Arabidopsis thaliana: one gene and its partners. The protein of the gene in region 1 interacts with the protein of each later gene in a pairwise test. Each region holds a gene or a part of one and is shown in the gene's direction. Other genes may lie near its edges.

Region 1 (5,093 bases):
TGTTCTTTACGCTTAGAGAAGGAGTTTCTAATAACTCTGAAATTATATCACTTGCAGTGATGGCAACAACTCTGATGTCTCTGTTCGTCATATTTTTATTTCCTCTGTTCCACGGGGAGTGATCTCTAAGGGGAAGAAGTTTTGTGGCCACTATGTGATTTCATCTAAGGAATTCACTGATGAAAGGGTAAATAAGAATCAAATACATGAAGATAAAAGTTTTCATTTTGAGAATACCATTTGGATTTTCATTTCTATGAGATATTTTAGGTTGGCTCAAAATCATACAATATAAAATTTCTACGTGAAAGAGTTCCATCATGGATCAAGATACCTACCTCAGCTGCTCTTCCATTCGGAACATTTGAGAATATACTCTCAGATGATTCCAATAAGGTATAACCTTTAATCATTTGCTTCTTTCTGGAACTCTCTAAAAGTAATCCAAGGGACGGCTCCTCACTGAGCTTGCGATCCAGAAGTCTCTTAAATAGATTTGGTGATCCATCGCTTTTCAGGATGTAGCACGCAGGATTTCTGTCCTTAAAGATTCTCTTAACAGAGGAGACCTGACAAAACTTAAGTCCATTCAAGAAGCTATCTTACAAATGAGTGCTCCAATGGCTCTGGTAATAACTGGGCATATAATTGTCTTTCTTTCTCTCTGTTCATGTTCCATGTGAATCTCATGTTGGGTTTTGAACTCTTTGGTAGAGAAATGAACTGATCACAAAATTGAGAAGTGAAAGAATGCCTTATCTTGGTGATGAATCAGGCTGGAACCGCTCCTGGGTGGCAATTAAGAAGGTAAGAATCTCTTTGAACGTTTGTGTACTTATAGTTAAAGGAACCAAGTGTTTCCCTGATCTCCACATCTGCATAGGTCTGGGCTTCAAAGTGGAACGAGAGAGCTTATGTCAGTTGCAAAAAAAATAAGCTTGATCATGATGCGGTCTGCATGGCTGTGCTGATTCAAGAAGTCATTTGTGGCGATTATGCTTTCGTCATTCACACAAACAATCCGGTCTCTGGTGACTCTTCAGAAATATACACAGAGGTTAAAGAACTATCTCCAGTTTCCACACTTTTGAGTAAATAATATCAATAACTCAGTTATCAAGAAACTGGCGTTCTCAGATTGTGAAGGGTTTGGGAGAGACCTTGGTTGGAGCATATCCAGGACGAGCAATGAGCTTCATCACCAAGAAAACAAACCTCAAGTCTCCAACCGTAAGAAACAAACAGATCCTAGTTGGCTCTTAAGTTGAGTTATATATTAACCGAGTGAGTGGGGAATTTGGGTTGTACAGGTGATCAGTTACCCAAGTAAGAGGATAGGTCTGTATTCTAAACCCTCAATCATATTCAGATCAGATTCAAACAACGAGGATCTCGAAGGCAACGCAGGCGCTGGACTTTACGACAGGTTTGTTTTGTGTGTTTCTCTCTGTTTCCGTCTTTTATTTCGGAACTCAGAAGCTGAAAGGGTTAAGTGCTGCAGTGTGATAATGGATGAAGCAGAGGAAGTAGTGGTGGATTACTCAAGGGAGCCACTAATAATGGACAAATCCTTTCGAGTGCGTCTATTCTCAGCGATTGCAGAAGCTGGAAATGTGATAGAGTCAATCTATGGTTGTCCTCAAGACATTGAAGGTGTTGTCAAAGGTGGACATATCTACATCGTCCAAGCTAGACCCCAAGTTTAAGCTCTCTTTTTCTACTTGTACCATTCCCTAAGTTTTCAATCAAATCTTATAATTACAAGCTAATCTTTTATATGTTTGCTATTACACATGTAATATTTCTACATCATGGCACACTCCTGATACAAACAAACATGATTCAAAGTTTCATAATAAATGATTGTGTGATAAAAATCCAAAACTCGTTTAAACGACATCGTATGAAGGGTCGCATAAGCGAAGAAGGATATAAAAACAGTCGCCGAGAAAGTCTCCCGCTATGGATACCGTTCTCATGGCTACAACACCACCAATCAGATGTCTTCATGCTTCAATTCCTACGGTGTTCCGTTCGCCGGCGATTTATCAGGTCAGCTGCCGGAGCTCCCAACTGTTTTCCTACCGTTCGACGACTATGATGAGCATGTGTTTTCTCAGACGGTCCGATTTGAGATCTCGCTTTCTTAGTACTCCGAAAACCACTTCTCCGATGAGACGACCTCGCTTTTCCGTCGGTGCTTCTACGGAGGAGTCTTCAATTCCTTCTAATCGGAACCTTATCGTGGCTAACTCCGTCGTAATCGTAGCTTTAGCTGTAGCTAATCGCGTGCTCTACAAACTCGCTTTGGTTCCCATGAAACAGTACCCTTTTTTCATGGCTCAGCTCACCACTTTCGGGTAACTTAAACAAGAGTGGCTATGAAAGAAATTGGGCAGTGAAGGAGCCTAGCTTAGATTATGATAAATGAATGGTTTTTGGCAGCTACGTCTTGATTTATTTCACCATTCTGTATACGAGGCGCCGTCTAGGCATTGTGACGAATGAAATGATGGATGTACCCAAATGGAGATTCGCAATCATTGGTTTTCTCGAAGCTCTTGGTGTTGCCACTGGCATGGCTGCAGCAGGTATCCCATTTATAGCATGATTGAAACTTTACATATTTATAAGGTTACATATGGAGTGATTCCACTCTCTGTTGCAGCAATGCTTCCTGGACCAGTTATACCCATTTTGAATCAGGTCTTTTGGTTTTATGATTATCTTCTTGCTCATTTGTTCTCATGGGGGTGTTGAACTCATGCCTCCCAATGTTTGGCAGACATATTTGGTGTGGCAGCTGCTTTTTGCTCTTCTTATTTTAGGCAGGAGGTTTTTGCTTAACCAAATTGCTGGTTGTCTCCTTGTGGCTGTGGGGGTTGTGGTGGCTGTTTCAAGGTATTCCTTCCTCCCTCTTCTCTTCTTCTAAAGTTACTTTTATCTTCTTGGATCTGGATGCTTGATCTTGGGGTAGAGAAATGTTTGTGTATCCGTGGTCATTTACAGATTATATCAAGAGAGTGCTTTCAGCTCTTACAATCTAGAAAACTAGTTTTCATGGACCAGAGTCACACCTATCAAATTCACCATGCTAAATGAATGGAGACGGCTCTACTTTAGTATTTATCATCCACATAGCAAATAGAAGGCCCTGATTCTAGAGAAGCTTGTGTGATAGTGATACTTTCATTTTTGTGAATGCTGACTGTAACTCATCTGCAGTGGATCTGGTGCAGATACTACGCTATCTGGAATCGGTTTCTTATGGCCTGCTGTATTGGTAGCATCCGCTGCTTTTCAAGCTGGTGCATCTATCATAAAGGTGAAGGTCGCTCTCTCTTATGAGTTGTGAACATTTCTATTTTATTTTCTTTTGCCAAGACCCAAGTTGTTAAGTGTTTTGTCTGTTAACAGGAATTTGTTTTCAATGATGCTGCAAAGCGTCTTGAGGTATCTCCCTTATCCCCTGCATCAAACAGGAATGCTTTTCTTTCGAAACTTTGCTGAATTAACTCTAAGATTAACTGGTGGATGCAGGGAAAGTCACTGGATATATTTGTGGTAAATTCATTTGGATCTGGATTTCAGGTATCTACTACTACAATATCATGTTGTAAATGTATTTGTTACAGCCAAAACAATTAGACATGCTTCTCCATTACATCAAGAGTACGTGAAGAAAACATTTGAAAGCTGCTTTCCTCTGTTATTCACTTATTATCTCTCTCCTACTTGAGAAGAGTTTTTGTTTTTTGGTTTAGTGTTACGGATCACTGAAGCTGTGCTTGTGCAGGCTCTTTTTGTGTTCCTGTTGTTGCCTTTTCTCTCAAACTTGAAAGGCATTCCATTCGCCAGCCTTCCTTCATATCTAAAAGATGGTGCCGGATGCTTCTTCAACACTGGAGCTAAGATTTCTGGTTAGAGACCATTCGACACTTGTTTTTTTTTCCTTCATTGAATTTTATTCACTGCTAAAACTTTGTGATTATCCATTTGAGAATTTCAGGCTGTGATGGTGCCCCTATACTCCCACTGCTCTATATATCCACCAATCTCGCTTTCAACATCTCATTGCTCCATCTGGTGAAAATATCTTCAGCAATCGTTTCCTCTCTTACCATGATGCTCTCAGGTCCATATTTCTATCCTTCCATGCAACGCCTCTTAAGTGTCACCAAATACTCAAACCCATATGAGATAATACTTTTGGTGTTGTTGTAGTGCCATTAGCGGTGTACATAATGTCAAAACCATTGCCGTATCTACCGGGAGGATCAAGCTTGAGCTCAAATTTTACGATGGGGTGTATAGTTCTTGTCCTAGGTCTTCTTCTCTACAACATTCCCACTACTCCAACTAAACAACACACCAAGACCTCCTAACACACTCACTCACCATTCATCCTTTTTGTGCATTACTTTTTTTTTTGTTGATAAACCAAATTCGTGTAATTTCCCAATTTTTTTTCCTTTGACCATCAAAGATACATAGAATATTCTCAGATATTTTTTTTACGTGAAAAACTAGCTTAAAGAAAAAAAAAAAAAAAAAAGAATAACAAGAAGAGAAATTTGTGATTGGTTAAAAATCCAGTAAAGTAGAGTCGTCGGGTCGTCTCGGAAGCAGTGCTGCGATTTTACCTAAAGTCACCTTTTTTTTTTACCGTCGGGTGAATTCGACGACGGTCCTAATCTCGCCTCCTCCACACGCGCCGATCACCATCTCTCTCTGTAATCGCTCTTCTCGATGTCAACTATTTCCTTCTTCCTTTGCTCTTAGGGTTAGGGTTTATTTTGTTCTTTCTCTATATCCTTCAATCAATGTGAAAAAAAAGCTCTCCCTTTTGGCAGTTTCCGATGTTTGGTCGCCATTCGATTATCCCAAATAACCAGATTGGTACCGCCTCTGCTTCCGCTGGTGAAGACCATGTCTCTGCCTCCGCTACGTCTGGTCACATTCCTTACGACGATATGGAAGAAATCCCTCATCCTGACTCTATCTATGGTGCTGCCTCCGATTTGATTCCCGATGGCTCTCAATTGGTTGCTCACCGATCCGATGGCTCTGAATTACTTGTTTCTCGGCCACCG
Region 2 (4,232 bases), on another chromosome or scaffold:
TTTGACATATCTACTTGACAAGTTGGATATTGAAGGCAAGCAGCCTTCTAACACACTTGTTTGTGGTGACTCTGGAAATGATGCTGAGCTTTTCAACATTTCTGACGTATATGGCGTAATGGTTAGTTCCCAACTACTTTTTTTTAGGTTCGATCATACTTGACTACGCGTGAGTGATTGTGCTTATATTTTTACTGTTTAAGGTTAGCAATTCGCATGAAGAATTATTGCAATGGTATGAAGAAAATGCAAAGGACAACCCAAAAATATTTCATGCGTCTGAGAGGTGTGGAGCTGGTATGATAGAAGCTATTCAGAGGTTTAATTTGGGACCAAATGTCTCTCCTAGAGATGTTATGGACACTGAAAATTTCCATGGGGAAAGTTTGAATCCTGCTCATGAGGTTGTTCAGTTTTATTTGTTTTATGAGAGATGGCGTTGTGGAGAGGTGGAAAAGTCTGACAAGTACTTGCAGAATTTGAAATCGCTCTCTGTAAGTGTGTTTATTTGACAAAAAAAAGCTCTCTAGCATCTAACGTAATGGAAATTCAAGTGCTCAAATTGATAATTTTGAAGATGTTCTTGATTGCTTGTGTTGTGTAGACTTATTAGTTGACGTAATTGTTATGCTTTTGCAATGTTTCAGAGTCCACTTGGTATTTTTGTTCATCCGTCTGGAGTGGAGAAACCGATACATGAATGGATAGATGAGATGGAAAATTTATACGGTGATGGGAAGGAAAAGAAGTTTCGCATTTGGTTGGATAATGTTACGTCTTCTCATATCAGTTCAGATACATGGCTTGCAAAATTTGTAAAGCATGAGTTATCTGGTAAGAAATCTTGTTCTTCAATTACATGGCTTATACTTGTGACTTATCGAGCTAGGAAATGATTTAGCAGAAAATACGATCAACTGATTTGTTTGATTTCTCATCATAAGGGTATACTGTAGAAGTTTGCTTCCATGTTCTAATGTCTAGCTCGTGTTTACAGAGGGAAAAGTACGGTCTTGTTCAACAAAAGTCTTACTGAGTTATAAGGTAAACCTTGATTTATGATCCTTTTAAGATTTCAAACGATTAGATTGGTTAAATAATATTGGAAAAAAATAACTGAAAATGGGTTAAAATTGAAAGGAGGAAAAGCAAAGGCTGACGTGGATGCACATCCACCAATCATGGTTAGATGAATCTTCTTCAGATGATCAAGAAAAATGGATTTTCTAAAGGATTATCTTAATCTCGACTGACATACTAAAGATGACATCTGTTTGGGACAGAAGCTAACCAAAGAGCATAGTGTTTGTTTTGTGTTATGTTTGTTTGGGGATGGTGTGAGTTTGATAAAGCATGAAGGATACTAAAAGCTGAAGAAGGTGTTGCCATGTCTTGGTTTCGTTTCATTAATACTTTTTTACATATTTGGGTTAACTTAAAACTATTAATAAGGAAGGTTGGGTCCTGAATTTGGTCTGTTCATGACCTTTTGAGGGCAGGGAGAGTTTTGGGTCTCTACAACAAAACCTACATTTCTTTAGTCTTACAAAACCTACCATTGTGTTTGATTTGCAATTCTTTTTTCTGGTTTATATGGATTGTTTTCTACTATTTCTGTTTGTTTTTGTTGAGAAACTATTTCGATTTTTTAAACCATATACAAAACGCTCCACCAAACTCACAAATCCCGCCTTGGATACTGTAATCTGTTTTTATAAAAAAATGATATGATGGAGAGAAGAGGAGACGCAAGTCACGGGACATGATTTCAAGCATAAGTCTAATTACTAATTACCACCACTTTCCGTAATTAACGCCCTTTTTCACTTTATCCACTTTTTGTTGCCCATCTTCTTTATATTATTTCTTTCTCCAAGCCCACACTGCTCAGTTTCCTGGTCAAATGGCTACCTCAGAGACTCGAGTCTTGTTCTTATCTTTGTGTCTCATCCTTGGCAAAGTAGTTTTGTCTCAGTTTGATGAGTTATGGCTAGTAGGGGACGATGATCCACTCAACGCCTTGCAGACGAGGCGTGAAAGAAGAGAGGAGAGGTGTGATTACTCGGTGGGGAAATGGACGTTCGATGAAACGTATCCGCTCTATGATTCAAGCTGTCCATATCTGAGTTCTGCACTAAGTTGCCAAAGAAATGGAAGACCCGACTCTTATTACCAGAAATGGAGATGGATCCCTAAGGCTTGTTCACTACCAAGGCACACTCCACACTCCTCTTACTTCTTACATTACTTCTTTTTAAAATTTCTGTCTCATCAAGTAAAAAAGTTGGTTTATATTGGCTTTGCATGGTTAATTGCAAGATGAATAAATTGACTAATGAAAAATGGGAAAGAGACATTAATATTAACCAAAATAGTGGCTCTTTCCATGATGGTGTTTAGGTTTGACGCATTGAAATTTCTTGGGAAAATGAGAGGAAAAAGAATAATGCTGGTTGGAGATTCAATGATGAGAAACCAGTGGGAATCTCTTGTCTGCTTAGTACAGTCTGTTCTTCCCACTCATCGTAAGAAGCTCACTTACAATGGTCCTACGATGTCTTTCCATTCTCTGGTAATTAATAATCACAAATCTCCTTTTGAATCACATATACATCATTGGTTAGTAGATGCAACTATTAAATTTGGTTACTATACAGGATTTTGAGACATCAATTGAGTTTTGTTGGGCTCCTCTGCTTGTGGAACTCAAGAGAGGAGTTGACCGTAAAAGGGTGTTACATTTGGACTCAATCGAAGACAATGCTAGATATTGGCGTGGTGTAGATGTTCTTGTATTCGATTCCGCTCACTGGTGGACTCACTCTCAGAGATGGAGTTCGTAAGTCATCTGAATAAACACTTACATCTTTCCTTCAAAAGCAAATGATTAGTGTATAACGGTTCATAGACGTCTATGTTCATTGTATTTGTTATTGTGTCTCATTTTACATCAGATTTGGGATTTGTGACAGTAACGCAAGCTATTGATGTTTTAGGTGGGATTATTACATGGATGGGAATAAGATCTTCAAAGCTATGGACCCAATGGTTGCTTATGAGAGAGGACTAACCACATGGGCTAAATGGGTTGAGATAAATCTTGATCCATCCAAAACAAAAGTCATTTTCCGCACTGTCTCACCGAGGTTTTTTCTTATATTCTCCTCTTAATCTCAACATATATACAAAATGGACACCATTAATTCATGTACATAAATTCTTGGCAGAGAGAGTGGTCAGATGTGCTACAACCAGAAACATCCCTTGCCTTCTTTATCTTCTTCCACCAAACCCCACGTGCCTCAACAGTCAAGAGTGTTGAACAAAGTGCTAAGGACAATGAAATACCGAGTGTATTTATACGATATCACAACAATGTCTGCGTATAGAAGAGACGGTCATCCTTCGGTGTTCAAGAGAGCAATGCACGAGGAAGAGAAGCACCATCGTATCGCTGGACCTTCATCAGATTGCAGTCATTGGTGCTTGCCCGGTGTCCCGGATATTTGGAATGAGATGCTTTCTTCAATTATCTTAACCAATGCTGTATGAGCTATAATAAGAGTCTGTTTTTACTCATGAACAATGGTGTTACTTATATGAATCAGTGGTTTATATATTACATATCCTTTCCCAGCTAACAAATATCCCAATATCAAAGACAAGACAACTCAAAGGCCTTTAAGCATAAAGTTCATGCATCACAATGATTTTCGTGTTTTGGTTATTTCTTACCTAACTCAATTTTTTTCCTAAAACGTTTTAGGTTAAGTTTTGGTGTTTTCATCAAAATGGCAATAACCATTTGATTAGAGTTTTACAGTTAGTGAAGTTCTCAATTTTTGAATAAAATAATATTTTTAAAATTGTAAAGGCAATGAGTCATCATTATTCTGTCGTATTCTCCGTCGCTTTCATTTTCAACTACTTTGAAGCTGCAGATCTCTTTTGGAGATTCACATGGCGACGGAGAAATGGGTGTTCATGGTGACGGCGCAAACTCCGACGAACATTGCGGTGATTAAGTATTGGGGAAAGAGAGATGAGGTTCGGATTCTCCCCGTTAACGATAGCATTAGCGTAACTCTTGATCCTGATCATCTCTGCACAGTCACCACTGTTGCCGTTAGTCCTGCTTTTGATCGGGATCGAATGTGGCTCAATGGCAAGGTACACTCGCTTCATTTCCCATCACGATCTCTCTCCTTTTGCTGAGATTCCAATTATCGAAT
Region 3 (6,223 bases), on another chromosome or scaffold:
GTTTTTTGGACCTTTTTGTTTTGCACCTTTGTCGAGTTGTTCTTTTCGTTTTTGCTTCTTTTATATATACTCAAGTGTTTTTATGTGACTTATGTTGCCGACAGGTGATTGGATCAGCTGTAGATAAAGATCGGATTCCTGGAATTGACATACTTCTGAAGGATAGTGATAAGTGGATGTTTGCTGGCCATGAGGTTCGGATACTTGACACTCCTGGCCATACACAAGGTTTGTAGCTGCCATAACCTCTACTGTAAAATACTAAGAACACATCTATACAGTCAAATATTGCCAACGTTAGAAACCTTTGGTGGATCACATATTAGTATCTTATTTGTCATTCTAATTTGTTATCCTCAATACATTACTGTGTAACTGCTCTCCTTTTTTATCGTTCTAGTGTAGTACAACTAGTAATTAATGTATACTTGGTGCCATGTTTTATCACTTAACTGTACTTATTCTCAAGCAGGCCATATTAGCTTCTACTTTCCCGGGTCAGCGACAATATTCACAGGAGACCTGATATATAGCTTATCCTGTGGTACCCTTTCAGAAGGTACCCCTGAGCAGGTAACATCAATTTCAAAAAGCAATATTTCAACCTTCTCGACCCTTGCACTGTTATGATTATTTTCTTGTGGCAAAAATTGTGCCAAGTGATTTGTGGTTTTCTAAATCATGTTTCTTTTTCAACCTTCATATCTTTTTACTGTTATGGTTACTTTCTTGTGGCAAACTGTGCTGAGTCAAATGGTATAGACTTTATGGAGAGATCACTTGGGACTTGGGAGTACTCTAATAACCGTACATTGTAGTTTCTTTCACAGAAGCAAACTTATTGTGCTCTGTCCTTTTTAACGAGAAAACCTTTTTTGCCTTATGACTCAGATGCTTTCATCACTCCAAAAGATCGTGTCTCTACCAGACGATACAAATATATACTGCGGCCGTGAAAACACAGCAGTAAGTTCCACGCACATAAATACTCTTAATTCACATTGTTCAACTCTCTTTTATATCTCCTCCATGATACAGGGCAATCTCAAGTTTGCTCTATCCGTAGAACCAAAGAATGAAACTCTTCAGTCCTATGCAACTCGAGTCGCCCATCTTCGCAGCCAGGGGCTCCCATCGGTAAAACCTCTTATCTCTTCCCTATCTCCTCTTTCTCTCTAAACCTCTCTCTAGATTTCATTTACTTACGGATTTGTTGTCTGTAGATTCCAACGACTGTCAAGGTTGAGAAAGCGTGTAACCCATTCCTCAGAATATCGAGCAAAGATATCCGAAAATCTTTAAGCATTCCAGACTCAGCAACCGAAGCTGAAGCATTGCGTCGTATACAGAGAGCCAGAGATCGTTTCTGAAAACTTGGGTATATTTTCTTATTTGTATAGAAAAATTTGCAAGTCAATCATCAGCTGCAAAGATCAATATTTTATATGTTTTGGGCTTTCTTCAGTTATCATTTGAAGTTGTGTATTCAACACAAAAAAATCTAAATATTTAGTTTAAACTCAATTATTAAATTATGAGATTTTCAAGTGTAATGAATGCTTCAACATACATACACAAGTGTATAGATAGATACGGTTTAGTTTCTCTCTACAAGTGCTTACCAAATTTCTAACAATGGAAATCATATGTTTGGTGGATTGATGGAATTGGCTCACCAAACGTGAAAACGCAACCGTGCGTCTACGATTTAATATTAGCTTTACTAGATTTGTTTGTAACCAAGGAATAATTATACAGATAATTTACATAAATTAAGTCAAATCCATAGATTTATGGCAAAAAAGTGTGAATATTAAATTATAATTACACAGCCGAAGAATAAAGGAAAACGCTAAAAGGTTGCGCGAGTGGAGAGTCTGCCCGCCAAGCAACCCCTAGTATTCAGCTTTTTGTGCACTGATCCAACTCGACTCGGCCTTTTTCTCTGAGTTGACTCGACCGAGAAAAGGCGATAGAGCTGGGGTTTAATTCGGCGATAACAATGGACGAAGATTCCGTCCATGGCGATTCTCACCTCAAGACATGTGTCGTCCTCGGCGGACGAGGGTTCATTGGTCGATCGCTTGTCTCCAGATTGCTTCGTCTCGGAAACTGGACAGTCCGAGTCGCAGATTCCGGTCACACTCTCCATCTTGATGAATCCGATTCGCTCCTCGAGGATGCTCTCTCCTCCGGCCGCGCTTCTTATCACTGCGTCGATGTTCGTGATAAACCTCAGATCGTTAAAGGTTTTCCTCTTATTTCCTGTTGCACTTTGTTAGATATGACATTGATGGATCGGTTTTTGGTATCTAGAAAATGCTATGGGGGAGTGTTTGGCTATTTGAGATTTTCGGGTTCTGATTTGAGTTTTGGTGTGACTGTTTTGTTCCTTGCAGTTACCGAGGGTTCCTATGTTGTATTTTACATGGGAGCTACTGATTTACGTTCCCATGATTACTTTGACTGCTACAAGGTTATAGTTCAAGGTAAAGTTCTTAGTCACTTCAAGATGGTTTACCATTATATTAGTTAAACTTGGGTGGTTAATCGATTTCTCGTATAGGTACAAGAAATGTGATTTCTGCCTGTCGTGAATCTGGAGTCAGAAAACTTATCTACAACAGTACAGCTGATGTTGTTTTTGATGGTTCCCAACCTATACGTGATGGTGATGAATCCTTGAGACGTCCTTTGAAGGTAATCCTTGAGCATGTTTGTTTAGTTGGTTTTTGTCGTTGGTCTTTTTCAGAGATGATATCTGTTTTGCTCTGATTCTCTTGCAGTTCCAATCTATGTTGACAGACTTCAAAGCTCAAGCAGAAGCGTTGATCAAATTGGCTAACAACCGAGATGGTCTCTTAACTTGTGCACTTCGCTCTAGCATTGTATTTGGACCTGGTGACACAGAGTTTGTACCTTTTTTGGTGAATCTAGCCAAGTCCGGATATGCAAAGGTCTTACTATTAGTTCATCCCATTGTTGCGTTTTTGCGTCTACGTTTATTATCTTATTATACCTGGTAGTATTCCTTGAGCTTGATGCATTCTTAGTTTTCCTTTTTTGGAGGAATGACTGTCTTAGTTTTTAAAATTTCAGTTTATACTCGGGAGTGGTGAAAATATCTCTGATTTCACTTACTCGGAGAACGTTTCTCATGCACATATTTGCGCCGTTAAAGCATTAGATTCACAGATGGAGTTTGTGGCTGGAAAGGTAACCTCTTTGAGTCAAAGTGTATTTGCCAAATCACTCCTGAAAGCGCATGAACTTTATATGTGATGAATTTTTACTGTGCCGACTTTATGTAGGAATTTTTTATCACAAACCTCAAGCCGGTCAGATTTTGGGACTTTGTAAGCCATATAGTTGAAGGTCTGGGATACCCAAGGTAAATAAGCATCCGAACAGTTTTTGATACAATGAAACTTGCTGTGAACTCCTTTTATCTTTCTGTTTCCTGATTATCAATGTAGCATGGGAAAAAGGCTCCTCAGAACTTCTGAACCTACCTTGAATGTTCCCTTCTTAAAGCAAAAGATCTTAATTTTCTGTTGATAGATGTCCTGGAGACATGTCTAGAAGAACCGTTTCGAGAACAGCCATATTCAATTAGTTTTTTTAGATATAAACTATCTATACATGGTGATTCGCTGATATTTAGTATTTTATACATGGTCGTATATGTTTCCTTCTCCTATGTCTTAAATATTGATCATTTTGAAAAGTTTTAGATCCTTAGAGCTAACTTTCTGGTTTACCTGTTTTGATATTTTTTTTTCCTCTTTAATTGCAGACCATCCATTAAACTTCCTGTTCGGCTGGTTTTGTATGTTTTCTCACTTCTTAAGTGGACACATGAAAAGGAGGGCCTTGGGAGTAATTATGACACAGCACATCAGTATGCTCTGTTAGCTTCATCAACGAGAACTTTTAACTGCAATGCAGCTAAGAAGCATCTTGGTTACACACCTGTTGTGACACTTGAAGTGAGTTTGTTGGATAGTATTTTGGCTTTTTGCATATTCAGCTGCTTAGTACCTTCCTTGGATTTATTAGCTCTTGTTGGATTTGTAGGATGGTATTGCATCAACGCTTCAATGGTTCTCTCGGGATCTTGAGAAGTCTGATGACACAATCATTCAATCTACTGCAGATCAGCTTCTTGGTTGTGGGAAAGGTTAGAACCATCTCGCTATTAACAATTATAATGCCTTTTTGAAGTGTTCTTGGCTAAGTATTCAGTTGTATTGCTTGAAGTCCGCATCTCATCTAGCTATGGATATGATGATGCATGTTCACAAGGCTTAACCTGGAAAGAATCTATCTCTATTTTCAACTTAGATTTGTTTGCTTCTAGATGTCTAGAACATGCTGAAGTATCTGCTTGGTTAATTTACATCTTCTTCCAGTCCATGTAATTTCATGCGAGTTCCAACTTTATTTCATGCACATATAAACAAACTCAAAGCGAATCTGGTCAATGCAAGCTTTTAATATTAATCTCTTTAAACTGACTTAGCTTTTCATCTCTATGTTCTCATGCAGTTGCAGACATCTTGCTGTGGAGAAATGAGAAGAAAACCTTCGTTTCTTTTCTTGTCCTAAACTTGTTTTATTACTGGTTCTTCTTTTCTGGAAACACATTTACTTCATCTGCAGCCCAACTTCTGTTTATATTTGCTGTTGCTCTCTATGGAGTCTCTTTTGTGCCGTCAAAGATGTAAGTATTGGTTCCAGAACTTTACCATTATAGAAGGCAGTGAAAATAAGTTGTGATACCAAAATTGTCCTATCAAAGGATGATGCACCCATGTATATATATTTCACCTTTGAAATCTATATGCAACTAAGTGACAGATTGATTTATTTTGACAGTTTCGGGTTTCAAGTCAACAAAATACCCCCATGGAGATTTGAGATCTCCGAATCCGCTGTGAGAGATCTTAGTAGTGATATCGTAGTTGTCTGGAATCAAGGAGTTCGCAGTTTTAAATCCTTAAGCAGTGGAGGAGACTGGATCAAGTTCTTCAAGGTACAATTCTACTCTTTATGCTCACCAAACATGAAAAATATCTCATTGCTCTCGTTTCCTAAAACAAAACATAAAAACAGATTGCAGGATCACTGTATCTCCTCAAACTGATTGTATCCCGTTCATTGGCAGCATTTCTTTTCACAGGTACTCGAACAAAGCTTTTGTTTTCACACTTCATAAACATGATTAACAACTTCATAAACATGATTAACAACTTCTTTATCCATAACATTTTCTCTACGCTTTGCTTGGACAGTTATGTCGTTCTCATTCACCGGTTTCTTCATCTACGAGCAATACGAGCTTGAGCTCTACCACCTAGCCCGGATATTCGTCGAATGCTTAACATTTATTAAAAGGATGGTGATACCTGTTTCTGATGCTTCATCTAAACCAATGTTCATGTGAAGCTTCCAAAGTCCTCCACTAAACGAACACCAACAATCCCAGAGACTAATTGCAGTTATTAGATGTCTTATGTACAAACATTATGCTATCAGGATGTAATCTTCACTGAGAGGGGATGGATATATGATTATTTACGAATTTGCCATAACTACTATCAAAATGCACCGTTTTGATCCGGTTTCCAAAAAAAAAAGAAAAAAAAGGAAAGTATCCTTATATATCCTTTAAAAGCCGCCGCTTCGATATTCCCTGGCCTCTCTTTCTCTCACAATCTAATCTTCTTCGTCTTCAAACTCAATCTAGGGTTCTCTTCTCCTCTCTGTAGGTAGGATTTTGAACACCCAAATCTCTCATCGAATTTTTCTTGCTCAACGTATCATCGCACAATTCGTCTCTCGTTTTCCGTCACGTGGATAATCGAAATCTCATAATCCCAAAGGTAAAACAATCAATTCTGGGATTGGAATTTTGGATCCATAGGATCGTCAATTGAAACAATCCCGATGGCGTTATCTATGAAGCCATTCAGAGCCGATGATTCCGGTTTCCAGTCAAACAATCTTTGGGTCGGTAGCCTAACGCCGGAGACGACAGAGTCAGATCTGACCGAGTTGTTTGGAAGATACGGCGATATTGATAGAATCACGGTGTATTCTTCACGAGGCTTTGCGTTTATATACTACAGACATGTGGAGGAAGCAGTCGCAGCCAAAGAGGCTCTTCAAGGAGCAAATTTGAATGGAAGTCAAATTAAGATCGAATACGCACGACCGGTTT
Region 4 (3,413 bases), 1.9 Mb from region 1:
CCGATCGTTGCAGCCTCGGTCCAGCCAAGGTACCTGAAGGCTTAACATTAGCCAAACCAGCTGCATCAAGTTGAAGTGCCAGATTTTTAGATATATTACTAAGGCAACAATCTTTGGTTGCTCAAGCAAATACTCAGCTTAAAATTCTGTATATCGTCATATTTTTGGGTGTAAAAGAATACTTCCTAAAGCCAGTTACGATTCTTCTGCTAATAGTCAATTGCAAATGTATTTTCACTACTGCTGTTCTTTATTGCTTTAAAGCAAGCTTATTGATGAAGTCATGTGAGGTTGCATAAGTCTCATTTCCATAGTTTTGGGGTAAATTTATAACTTTCTCAACTTACCGAACGATAGTGAAAAACAAATACATAGCACAATGGTTACAATAATCATGTGTTGTGATTACAATTTACAAATTTACAAGAATCATATCAAATAAGATTTTTTAAAAATTTACAAATGTGAGCTCAAGACTTTTAAGTGTTAAAGATAAGTTAAGGGCTGAAAACTAAAACATGTAGGAATAAGAGGACTGTTTGGTAAACGTTTTAACGTTTAAAGTCTTGCCTTTTGATATCAGATTTTTCTCAGGTTCCCACGCGCCGCCGCGAAACAGCTAGACGGAGAAATCCAAAATTCGGCGAAGGTTTGAGAAGAGAGAAATCTGAGAGATGCAAGGAGTGTGGAGCCAACTATGGAGGAAATATGCTGATTATAAGTACAATAAGTTCGAGAGATTTGCTGTTTGGGAAATGATCGAACCTTACCGTCGACCAAAAACCTTCACAACTTTGATTACTATCTATGTCGCCGCCTTTTACACCGGCGTCATCGGCGCTGCAGTTACAGAGCAGCTCTACAAGGTCAGCTTCGTATTGTTATCGATTCAGGCCCGGAATTGCTATTAGATTTGTGGGTTCTAATTTGATTCTCGTGATTGGTAAATGTTAGGGTTCGAAATGTGATAAAATTGGAAATGATTCATTGTTGATTACTAATAAAGGATTGTGTGATCATGAAAAGAACTATACTTGAATTGCTTTTCATGGGAATGGTTCATTAGGTCTTTCAATGAAGCTTTTACGTCTTGATTAGTATCTAATCTAATTCATTGTTCTGTAGTATATTGTATTCTTTGTCAATGTGTTTCTTACACTGTTTTGTGTTAGTATCAGTTATGTTTCTTGTTTGAGTGTGAACTTTATGTTACTCCACTCTCTGTAAACAGGAGAAGTTTTGGGAAGAGCACCCAGGGAAAACAGTGCCTCTGATGAAGCCAGTATTCTATCGAGGACCATGGAGAGTTTATCGTGGTGAGGCTATTGCTTCAGATGCTAGCAGCCAGTGAAGCTAACGATTAGGCTATCAGAGACTATGGTGAAGGATGTATCTCCGACTTTGATACGCAGATATAAATGGATTTATACTGGTTCACTAGTATATGTATATCAAAAAACTTCTTTTGGTTCAGTAGAATGTTTGTGTCTGTATTTCGAGTCTAATGACTCTCTTAAGAATCTATTTTCTAGAAATTACATGTAATGACAGTCTCGTTATAGTATAAGGATTTGATTTGAGAAGTTTAAGGGTATCCATTCATTCCTTTGAATATCTCTGCTTGTATCTGCCTCTCTTCTGGTGTCCTGAAATAAAACATTCCCAAATAAGATAGATGATCTAACTACCTCAGAAACATTGAGCCAACACAGATTTTTCTCTTCAAATTAGGTTGCTTCACATTCTTTAGTCCATATAGATTCCTCTGGGGACGTACTCTGTTTCTTTCCTTCCTTTTTTTTTTTGTTTGTTGCTTGTGAAAGAATATGACAACCTATGGCACTATACCATCCCAAGAAAATGCTTCGTCGAGCCTGAGCTTATTAGGACGAGCCAAAGAATTGATCTCGTTAGGTCTTAGCTCTCAAAGGCCATGGCTTGAACTTGTCCAATGTAGTGCCTTTAGCCTTCCTATCTCCTTTAGCGTTGCCACTGAACGAATCAAATCCAACATCATGATCTTTCGAACCAACTACATTGTTATCTTCATTGTTAGTATCTTCATCAGCATGCTTTGGCAACCCGTCCACCTTTCCGTCTTTGTTATCTTGATAGTAGCATGGCTATATGTCTACTCCCGTGATAATGAACCATGGGTGATATTTGGCAGTGTGATCGATGATTCTACTTTGGTGCTGGTTTTGTTGGTCCTCACGATCGGTATATTTCTACTAACAGATGTATCCCGCGGTATTGTGATCGGGGTTTTGGCTGGTTTGCCCGTTGTTCTGGTTCATGGCATGTGTAGGAGGAATACAGAGATGTTGTTCGTCTTGGAAGATGATGAAGAGAAAGTGGCAATGAACACATCATCTTCGTCACTTTCTTCTTCCTCTTAAGTCTTCACAATTGAGCACAAGATTTTCAGTTTTTCTTTCCTGAATTTGTCTACATAGTTCAAAACAACGCATATCCAGTGAAGGAACGTTAACATGCTGCAAAAAGAACTTGAGCTCTTTTGCGATCAAAATTCAGGATGTGGATATTGATGTACTGATGCATGTCAGAGACCTTGGTGACAAATAAAAGGCAATTTTGCGTGCTGATTAAAAACATTATCCTATGATAGAATTCCTATCTAATTATCTCCAACAAGCCAATACAATAACGAAGACAAGTGTGATCCTCTTCTCAGTTATCACTTATTACAAATTATCCAATCGATTCTCTCATTTTCAACAATTACGAATTGAAAGGTTGTAACTTTATATGAACAATGATCTAGTTTTTAATTTTATCACAACAATTATCAAGTTCAAATGCAATAGGGATTTGGCTATATATACCATTTTACTTTTTAGACACGACATGAAGAAGTAGTTAGACCATCTCCAACAAAGAGAACCCCAAAAAATTCTCAAATAAAAAAAATATTAATATTTTACTATAATTTGATTATACAATTAAATTTTTATTTTAGTAAAAAAATTAGATAATTGTAAAAGAGATAAGTGTTTAAAAGGAACTCTCTAAAATATCTGAGGTGGTTTAGACGTCTCGCTAATATCAACCGGCCTAGTCCCAGAGTGAATACAATATTTTTACATTTGGTAAATGTTAAGCAAAACCAACTAAGACTTATTCCTAATAAACATATTTAATTTATTTATTTCAAAGAGATAATTACATAGGTTTATATTGTCTATGAAGAATTATTTTGTTTATAATTTTTTTAATATGTTATAGTGTTCTAGAATTACCAAAATATAAAGTTTGTTAATCATGTTTAATTTAAAGCAAAAAAAGAAGATAAAACATAAGAAAAACAAAAGCAAACTACAAGCAAAATATATATAAATTTTCAAGATTTCTCCTTATTCCTCCAAACTCTATGCATTTTAAAATAGTTGGTT

What was found.
Region 2: the proteins of CLT2 (region 1) and TBL36 interact in a protein complementation assay, tested with the Arabidopsis thaliana proteins (one large-scale study listed by BioGRID).
Region 3: the proteins of CLT2 (region 1) and AT2G43420 interact in a protein complementation assay, tested with the Arabidopsis thaliana proteins (one large-scale study listed by BioGRID).
Region 4: the proteins of CLT2 (region 1) and PRA1.C interact in a protein complementation assay, tested with the Arabidopsis thaliana proteins (one large-scale study listed by BioGRID).

The regions. Positions count from the first base shown.
Region 1 is NC_003075.7:12,640,926-12,646,018, forward strand, and holds CLT2 (CRT (chloroquine-resistance transporter)-like transporter 2), read left to right. Parts: upstream 1-1,928; 5' UTR 1,929-1,962; coding exon 1,963-2,360; exon of another isoform or gene 2,361-2,431; coding exon of another isoform or gene 2,432-2,445; coding exon 2,446-2,591; intron 2,592-2,668; coding exon 2,669-2,706; intron 2,707-2,785; coding exon 2,786-2,901; intron 2,902-3,225; coding exon 3,226-3,325; intron 3,326-3,417; coding exon 3,418-3,453; intron 3,454-3,540; coding exon 3,541-3,591; coding exon of another isoform or gene 3,592-3,648; exon of another isoform or gene 3,649-3,796; coding exon 3,797-3,920; intron 3,921-4,009; coding exon 4,010-4,135; intron 4,136-4,224; coding exon 4,225-4,385; 3' UTR 4,386-4,431; exon of another isoform or gene 4,432-4,530; 3' UTR 4,531-4,576; downstream 4,577-5,093. Other genes in the region: PWD (phosphoglucan, water dikinase), read left to right, coding at 58-187, 271-396, 519-629, 715-807, 884-1,057, 1,138-1,230, 1,311-1,426, 1,502-1,706; ZIM (GATA-type zinc finger protein with TIFY domain-containing protein), read left to right, coding at 4,860-5,093. UniProt on the Arabidopsis thaliana protein: Involved in thiol transport from the plastid to the cytosol. Transports probably both glutathione (GSH) and its precursor, gamma-glutamylcysteine (gamma-EC).
Region 2 is NC_003074.8:20,084,417-20,088,648, reverse strand, and holds TBL36 (TRICHOME BIREFRINGENCE-LIKE 36), read left to right. Parts: upstream 1-1,681; 5' UTR 1,682-1,903; coding exon 1,904-2,214; intron 2,215-2,400; coding exon 2,401-2,572; intron 2,573-2,657; coding exon 2,658-2,839; intron 2,840-2,996; coding exon 2,997-3,146; intron 3,147-3,227; coding exon 3,228-3,552; 3' UTR 3,553-3,678; downstream 3,679-4,232. Other genes in the region: AT3G54270 (sucrose-6F-phosphate phosphohydrolase family protein), read left to right, coding at 1-121, 204-494, 648-834, 998-1,044, 1,141-1,230; AT3G54250 (GHMP kinase family protein), read left to right, coding at 3,961-4,170. UniProt on the Arabidopsis thaliana protein: May act as a bridging protein that binds pectin and other cell wall polysaccharides. Probably involved in maintaining esterification of pectins. May be involved in the specific O-acetylation of cell wall polymers.
Region 3 is NC_003071.7:18,030,716-18,036,938, reverse strand, and holds AT2G43420 (3-beta hydroxysteroid dehydrogenase/isomerase family protein), read left to right. Parts: upstream 1-1,756; 5' UTR 1,757-2,002; coding exon 2,003-2,249; intron 2,250-2,399; coding exon 2,400-2,489; intron 2,490-2,566; coding exon 2,567-2,700; intron 2,701-2,786; coding exon 2,787-2,957; intron 2,958-3,099; coding exon 3,100-3,216; intron 3,217-3,311; coding exon 3,312-3,391; intron 3,392-3,796; coding exon 3,797-3,989; intron 3,990-4,077; coding exon 4,078-4,180; intron 4,181-4,548; coding exon 4,549-4,723; intron 4,724-4,878; coding exon 4,879-5,035; intron 5,036-5,115; coding exon 5,116-5,182; intron 5,183-5,294; coding exon 5,295-5,446; 3' UTR 5,447-5,671; downstream 5,672-6,223. Other genes in the region: GLX2-1 (glyoxalase 2-1), read left to right, coding at 105-228, 473-573, 892-966, 1,039-1,137, 1,224-1,370; FPA (RNA binding protein), read left to right, coding at 5,950-6,219.
Region 4 is NC_003075.7:14,532,433-14,535,845, reverse strand, and holds PRA1.C (prenylated RAB acceptor 1.C), read left to right. Parts: upstream 1-1,772; 5' UTR 1,773-1,826; coding exon 1,827-2,399; 3' UTR 2,400-2,909; downstream 2,910-3,413. Other genes in the region: EMB2752 (embryo defective 2752), read left to right, coding at 675-866, 1,232-1,351; AT4G29654 (Protein kinase superfamily protein), read left to right, coding at 3,392-3,413.